Stegostoma tigrinum: one gene and its partner. The protein of the gene in region 1 purifies or fractionates together with the protein of each later gene. This does not show direct contact. Links are inferred from orthologs where the notes say so. Each region holds a gene or a part of one and is shown on either strand. Other genes may lie near its edges.

Region 1 (3,751 bases):
CATCTCCATCCTTTCTCATCTACCCCGAATCCACATATTGTGACCGCCGGTTCTGGACACACCCACTATCGGGAACATCCGCCCTGGATCTACCCTGCCCAATTTGGATAGAATTTTATTAGTCTCTTTGAGATCTCCACATCATCCATCTGGACTCTAGCGAAACAATCCCAACCTAGTCAATCTCTCCTCATATGTTAGACCCGCCATCCCTGGAATCAGTCTGGTGAACTTTTACTGCTGACAACACCTCAATCTCTCTGTATTGCAGCATTCTGCAGTCTTTCTCCACGTAAATACTCTGCTTTCTATTTTCCCAGCAAATTGGGAAACCACTTATTTTCCACGTTGTATCAGCCAATTTGTTGCCCAATTACTTAATCTATCTACATTTCTCTGCAGACTCAATGCATCCTCCTCAAAACTTGCTTGCTCATTTTTGAATTGTCAGCAAATCTGGCTTCAACACACTCGATCCTTTCATTCAAATCACTGATGTATGTTGCAAACAGATAAGGTTTCAGTCCTGAGCCCCGCGGCACTCCACAACGTAACTGAAACTGACCTATTTAATCACTTTCTCTTTCCTAAAAGTTAGCTCATCCTCTGTCAGCATGGACCAGTTGGGCCGAAGGGCCTGTTTCCGTGCTGTACATGTCTATGGCTCTAAAACTCAGTCAGAACAGGATTTAACTGACAGCAACGATCAGACATAAGTAACAAATAAAGCACACCTCAGAATTACCATCTCCGATTCGGTACCTTGGGCGGGGGGTGAGGAAAAAAACGCAAGTAGCATATTCGAGCTCAAATTTTTCAGCCAAATCTCGAATGTTCCCGCCGCAGTACGTCATCAAACCGCGACACAATTACCCGAGCTCCAATAAACAAAGTGAAAATGGTGCGAGCAAAAACTGGTCATGTTTGCTGTTAATGTTATAGCGAGTAGATGGGGGAAGAAAAAAATAACAATTCAATCCAAATAAATAAAAGATAGCAAAAACAAAAGCTCACAGTCGGAATTTGGAGAAATTGGATCATAAGGTACTTGCTTTCTTTTTTCTGTATTTGAATTGATATGAACGGTGCAGCATATGATATTTATTTAGTTTGATACACGGTGTTGCTGCTGAGTACTCTGAGGTTTGGAACGTTGTGCAGGTGGCCAGAATGTGGCTCCTTCCGGGTCTGGGCGCTGCTCGCATTTTAATGCCATAAAGTCAGGGATAGCATCGGTAGGCTGCACTCACTCTCGTTCACACGCACTTCTCTCGGGGGGTTTAAACACGCAGAGGGTAAGTAGCAACATCTTTACACGCATTTGACCTAGTGGGGTTCGCAAGCGTGTGTGCAAAATGAACATCCTACCCCTTTGGATGATAACTGCTTATATTCCACTCACATGAGCCATAGACTGTTATCATCAAGCACCCTATTTACTCCAGACCCACTTTCCGGCGCTTAGTCTGTATCTTTGTATGTAATTAGCGATTCATGTGATCATCCAAATGCTGTTTAAATGTTGAAAAGGTCCCATTTCTACCACTCTTTGATGTGATGAATTCCCGATATCCATTACCAAGTCTTTAGATGCCCTCTGAACCTCATGCTGCTCACTTCAAATGCATGCCCTATGTAGTTGATCCATCTACTAAGAGGGTAGGTTTCTTCCTGTCTAGCCTATTTACGCCCTTCCTTTTTGTACTCCTTCAGTCCTTTCTGCTCAAAGGAAAACAATCCCAGCTTGTCCACTTTTTCTTCTTACCAGAAATGCCCCAGCACAAGCAACACTCTTGAATTTCCTCTGCACCCTCTGAAGAGGATTCAAATCCCCTTGTATTCAATGTTTTGATTAATACACGCAAGCATCCCATACACCTTCTTGCCTGCCCTAATGCCTTTCTGAATCTGTAGACCCTTCATAGGGTCCTAGCTTTTCACATTTACTGCTTTGCCCTTGTCAGTATTTCAAAATGCATAATTTCACACTTTTCAGGATTAAATTTCATTTACCATTATTCTGCCCATCTGACCAACCTATTTATAACATCCTGTAATCCAGTTGTCTTCCTCACTATTTAGCGCAACATCAATAGTGTCACCTACGGACTTACTGATGAAACCTTTTAGATTCATATCTTGACAATTAATGTACAACACACACAGCAAGAGGCCCAGCACTGAACCCTTTGGTATGCTGCTGGACATAACCTTCCAGTCACAAAAACAACCTTCAACTACTATGGTCTGTCTCCTGCTTCTAAACCAGTTTTAAATCTGATTTGATAATATATCATTAGTTATTTTGAATTTTCAGCATGGTTTTTTTTTGAGCCCAAATTGTGGCCTTTATTCATTTTTCTCTTGCCACTTTTAGCCTCTGTTTACATGACTAAATTCAAATGGTTTCAGTTTTAACACTGATATATTTCTGGTCTTTTGGGTAGCTGGGATATGATGACATCCTTCCAGGTTGAATTATTGATTCCTGTTCATTACTTAAATTAGAAACTATCATCCAGTGATTAGTGACCAAATTGAACTTTTTGCACCTATGTTGATACCAATAAAAAATGGCCTGTTTTCCAGTAGTTTGATTGAAGGAGAACTGTTGGTTTTCAGAATGAAGGAGGACTTTGAAAAATACCATGAGATCTCGTATGTCCACCTGAGGGGGCAGGTTGAGCCCCTTTTAATGACACCTTCCATGTAATCTGTCTTTAATTATTGGTGTAGATTTTGCTGTTCTGTTCTGTGGAGCAAAGGTTTTAACCCACAACCTCCTGACATGAAGGTGAGAGACCTATCACTGGTTAAGACTGAGATGATGCCACTGTACGTTGTTAAACCAGCTTACCAAAAGTTAAGGACAAAACTGATTGCGAGTATTGATAGGAACGTGCACTAACAATCAGCTGTTCCACCCAGCCACCAAAAGTATAGTTGTCGGTATCATAGCCAATATCTGATACGTGTGGTTGTAAAACAACAATTTCTGCTGTCACCTGTTGGGCAGACTCAGTTTTTGTGTGTGTATACAATCATGAACACTTTTAAGAGAACAGCAACTAATGCTTTAAAGATAGTAGGAACTGCAGGTGCTGGAGAATCTGAGATAACAAGGTGTAGAGCTGGAGGAACACAGCAGGCCAAGCAGCATCAGAGGAGCAGGAAGGCTGACGTTTCGGGCCTAGGCCCTCCTTCAGAAATGGGGGAGGGGAAGGGGGTTCTGAAATAAATAGGGGGAGGGGGCGCCTCCCCCTCTCTCCCCATTTTTATCTCTATCAATTTGATAACATCACATCTCCTTCTTACGGCAGGGAGAGTTTAAGATTTGACAGATGTGTTCAAAATCATGAATTGCTTTGATAGTGTGACCAATGAGAAACTGTTGTGAATGGCAAAGGGTCTGTAACCAGACAGCACAGATTTAAGACGAATGACAAATGAGCTAGAGGCAAAGTGAGGGAGCATTTTTACACAGCTAGTTGTGATCTGCAATGTCTGAAAAGATAGATACGTAGTAACATTCAAAAGAAATTCGAAATAAATGTTTGAAACAAAAAGTATTAACAGAACTGTTGCGGAAGAGTAGCAAGTGAAATTGATTAGCTCTTATGTAAGCACAATGGGCTGAACAGCCTGTTGTGCTGCAACTTGAGTTTAAGTAGAAGTTGTGAACTTGTAGCATTGATTTACAGCATAGTGAAGTCTTCTTTGTTAGAAATCATAGAATGAGAAGGGTATCTGG
Region 2 (3,751 bases), about 130 Mb from region 1:
TTTTCCTCTATCCGTCTCCCCCTTTCATCCCATTTATTTCAGAACCCCCTTCCCCTCCCCCAGTTCTGAAGAGAGCCTGGCCCCAAAACCTCAGCTTTCCTGCTCCTCTGATGCTGCTTGGCCTGCTGTGTTCATCCAGCTCCACAATTTGCTCAAGTTACTGACTTCAGCCTTTCAGGTAACTAGGAGACTAAATCATGACTTTTTACAACAGCATAATAAAACAAAAGCTGTGGATGCATATCGAGTGCAGTTCCTTCAACCTTGTCCCAAACTTCCAGGAAGAGTACAGCACAGAACCGTATGAACACTTCAAACGTGCAAACAGGGCAAAATTAAAATGTGCCCAGCTCCCCAACTGCCTTTCTGACTATTCTGGAACTGGTGGGCTATTCCTCTCCAGCAAGCACTGACGATACTTCAGAATCCGAGATGGACACGGCAGATAATGCAGCCTCGATGCCTTTGCCGTCTGAAGAGGAGAGCAAATCTCTTTTGGGCGCAGGTGGTGAGCTACTGTGCATTATATGCTGCCTGGATCAGAGGTAGCGTTGGAGGAACCTGATCTGGTGCTAAATGCCCCAGCAGGAATTAGTAAAAAAAAAACTGGCCTCTGTCCTCAGACGGGAGCATTTGTAGTTTGCTTTAAGGAAAGCAACCAGGCCAACTACTCTCTTCATTACTGGATCATTTCAGCCACAGCAACAACCTAGTGAATTCTTTTTGCACCATCTCTAGTACAATGACACCCTTCCTATAATGTTGCAACCAGAAACACACAGCACCCTAGCGGTGACCTAACTAACATTTACAGCTCCATTATAACCACGTTGTGCTTCTACTCTATGCCTTGGCTAATAAAGGCAAGTATGCGGGCTAGACACAGTAACAGTCATCACCATCGAAGACATACACAGAGATATAATCTGAACCATATTGTAAGGCACAGGAGCAGAATTAGGCCACTGAATGAGATCCAAGCCAATCTAAATACTGAACTGAAAACAAAAAATAACACTGGCGATCATAGCATGTCAGGCAACATCCATGAAACATCACGGCAAGCTAACGCTTCAAGCGTAGGTGACTCTTGGTCAGATGGCGCCTTTAGCATTTATTGTTTTCAGTACGGATTGCAGCATCTGCAGTAATTTGCTCCCGATAATCCTGAACCTTATTTTCCTCCATTTTCACCATAACTGCATTCCCCCCCAGTCACTTCGTTATAAATCTCAGCTCTGACTACCTTAACAGCTCAGATTCTACAGGAGGGAACTGCAGATTCACGACAAATGAAATCCAAAGTTTGTCTTCAGTTGCTGAGAAATTACAGCTTTCGGTTGCAGATTCCTCTACAATCAAGTCGCTTAGGAATCACCGGACTGTGGAGGGGGCTGTTTGGAGTGTCACTGGAGCCAGCATAGTGTAGCATGGCGGCTCAGTGATTACCCTCACAGTGCCAGGGACCCGGGCTTCCCTGGACTGACCTATCCCCTCCCTACCTCCCCACCTATACTCTCTCCACCTATCTTCTTTACTCTCCATCTTCGGTCCGCCTCCCCCTCTCTCCCTATTTATTCCAGTTCCCTCCCCCCATCCCCCTCTCTGATGAAGGGTCTAGGCCCGAAACGTCAGCTTTTGTGCTCCTGAGATGCTGCTGGGCCTGCTGTATTCATCCAGCCTCACATTTTATTACCCGGGCTTAGTGCCAGCTTTGGGTTCCTCCTACAGTCCAATGATGCTCGGGTGATGTGGACTGGCCACGCTAAATTACCCACGGTAGGCAGTCTGGATGGGTTAACTGGCCATTACATTCGGGTTACAGGGGTGTGGGATGCTGCTTGGGGCCACGAGACCTATTAGGATTCTCCAGAGACATTTTTTGTTTGAGATTTCCAGCATCCGCAGTCTTCTGTTTAACTTCCTTAAGAATCCTGTACATTTAACTAAAGTCACTCCTAATTCTTCCAAACTCTAATGAGTAAAGGCTCAACCTCTCCTCACAACGGGATCTCTCCAAACCTGGTATGAGGCGGCTCAAACTTCCCTGGACTGTCTCCAGCGGGCCCTTCCTTCGCAAAGGGCCTCCAAGTTCCCTCCGCACACATGGGGCGGATCAGGCGCGGCCTGACCCGGACCCTAGGCCTACTCGCCGTCGCCATGTGGCCCCGGGTGGGGCTTGACCGTCGCCTCAGGCCTCCCCACCCACACAAAGCTGCTGCCTCTCCGCCGCGCAAACCAACTCACCATCCTGCCGCACCGCCGCTGACTGAGGCCCGCGATCACGTGACGCCGCCTCTTATCCGGCCCGCCGTGCCAGTAATCCGCGTTCCCATTGGCCGCCGTGCGGCCGTTCTCGAAGGCCTTTGGCCAGGTCGCCGCCTGCTAGGGTCTCCCATTGGGTGTCCGCAACAGCCAATCCTGGAGTCTCTAACTGCCGTGCATCCAATCCAGACTTCCAGTTGGCCGCCTCGCTGCCACCCCGGGCTTCTATTGGCCGCCTACCAGCCAATCCGGAGGGGCGTTCATGCCGAGCAGCCAATGAGCTCAGAGGGCATGTTCTCTCCTGGTTCTCCCGCCCAATTGGTTGCCAGGTAAAGATCAGCGTCTATTAATTGTCCTCCAATCACTAACTAACATAAACCTTAACCATTAACTAGCATTCACTGTTAACCAGCACGTGGACGTGAATTAAAACAAACATGAAGAAGCTCAGCAGGTTTGGCAGCATGTGTAGAGAGAGAAAGCAGGGATTCAACAAGAGATGACGAGGTGTGGGGCTGGATGGACACAGCAGGACAAGTGGCATCTCAGGAGCACAAAAGCTGACGTTTCGGGCCTAGACCCTTCATCACTAGGCCCTCACCCCATCCCCCTCTCTCCCTATTTATTCCAGTTCCCTCCCCCCATCCCCCTCTCTCTGATGAAGGGTCTAGGCCCGAAACGTCAGCTTTTGTGCTCCTGAGATGCTGCTGGGCCTGCTGTGTTCATCCAGCCTCACACTTTGTTATCTCGGATTCTCCAGCATCTGCAGTTCCCATTATCTCTGATAAGTGGCATCTTGGGAGCACAAAAGCTGACATTTCGGGCCTAGACCCTTCCCCATCCCCCTTTCCTGATGAAGGGTCTCAGCCCGAAACGTCAGCTTTCCTGCTCCCAAGATGCCACTTGTCCTGCTGTGTCCATCCAACCCCACACCTCGTTGTATCAGAGATTCAACATGACCCTCCTTCAAAAGTCCATGGAAAGGTTTATATCTATTCTGGAGGGGAAGGTGTAGAAGATAGCCAGAGTCCAGATAGAGGGAAAACAGCATGGGACAGATAAACCCGAAAGAACTGCGGATGCTGTTAATCAGGAACAAAAACAGAAGTTGCTGGAGAAGCTCAGCAGGTCTGACAGCATCTGTGAAGGGAAAATCAGAGTTAACGTTTCAGGTCCGATGACCCTTCCTCAGAACTGGGTGTGAGGACCTGAAATGTTAACTCTTGTTTTCTTGCTTCACAGATGCTGCCAGACCTGCTGAGCTTTTCCGGCAACTTTGTGACAGCAATGGGCAATGATGAGCCCGTGAGATGGGGCCCAATGGTGGGTGAAAATAGGCTCATAGAATCCCTGCAGTGTGGAAGCAGGCCATTTGGCCCATTGAGTCCACACTGACTCCATGAAGATCACCTCACCCAAATGCATCCCCGATTCTTTTCCTGGAGTCTTGGATTTTCCATGGCTAATCCACTAGCCTGCAAGCCCT

What was found. Proteins that work in one complex are often made in the same cells at the same time.
Region 2: the proteins of larp7 (region 1) and nop56 purify together in Homo sapiens (affinity purification with mass spectrometry; 3 studies listed by BioGRID and IntAct, with this or other methods). This does not show direct contact. The link is inferred for Stegostoma tigrinum from reciprocal best matches to the Homo sapiens genes LARP7 and NOP56.

Annotation. Positions count from the first base shown.
Region 1 is NC_081354.1:63,790,697-63,794,447, forward strand, and holds the start of larp7 (la-related protein 7), read left to right. Parts: upstream 1-868; 5' UTR 869-1,044; intron 1,045-3,751. UniProt on the Homo sapiens protein: RNA-binding protein that specifically binds distinct small nuclear RNA (snRNAs) and regulates their processing and function.
Region 2 is NC_081354.1:189,150,502-189,154,252, forward strand, and holds the start of nop56 (nucleolar protein 56), read right to left. Parts: upstream 2,354-3,751; 5' UTR 2,251-2,353; coding exon 2,248-2,250; intron 1-2,247. UniProt on the Homo sapiens protein: Involved in the early to middle stages of 60S ribosomal subunit biogenesis. Required for the biogenesis of box C/D snoRNAs such U3, U8 and U14 snoRNAs. Part of the small subunit (SSU) processome, first precursor of the small eukaryotic ribosomal subunit.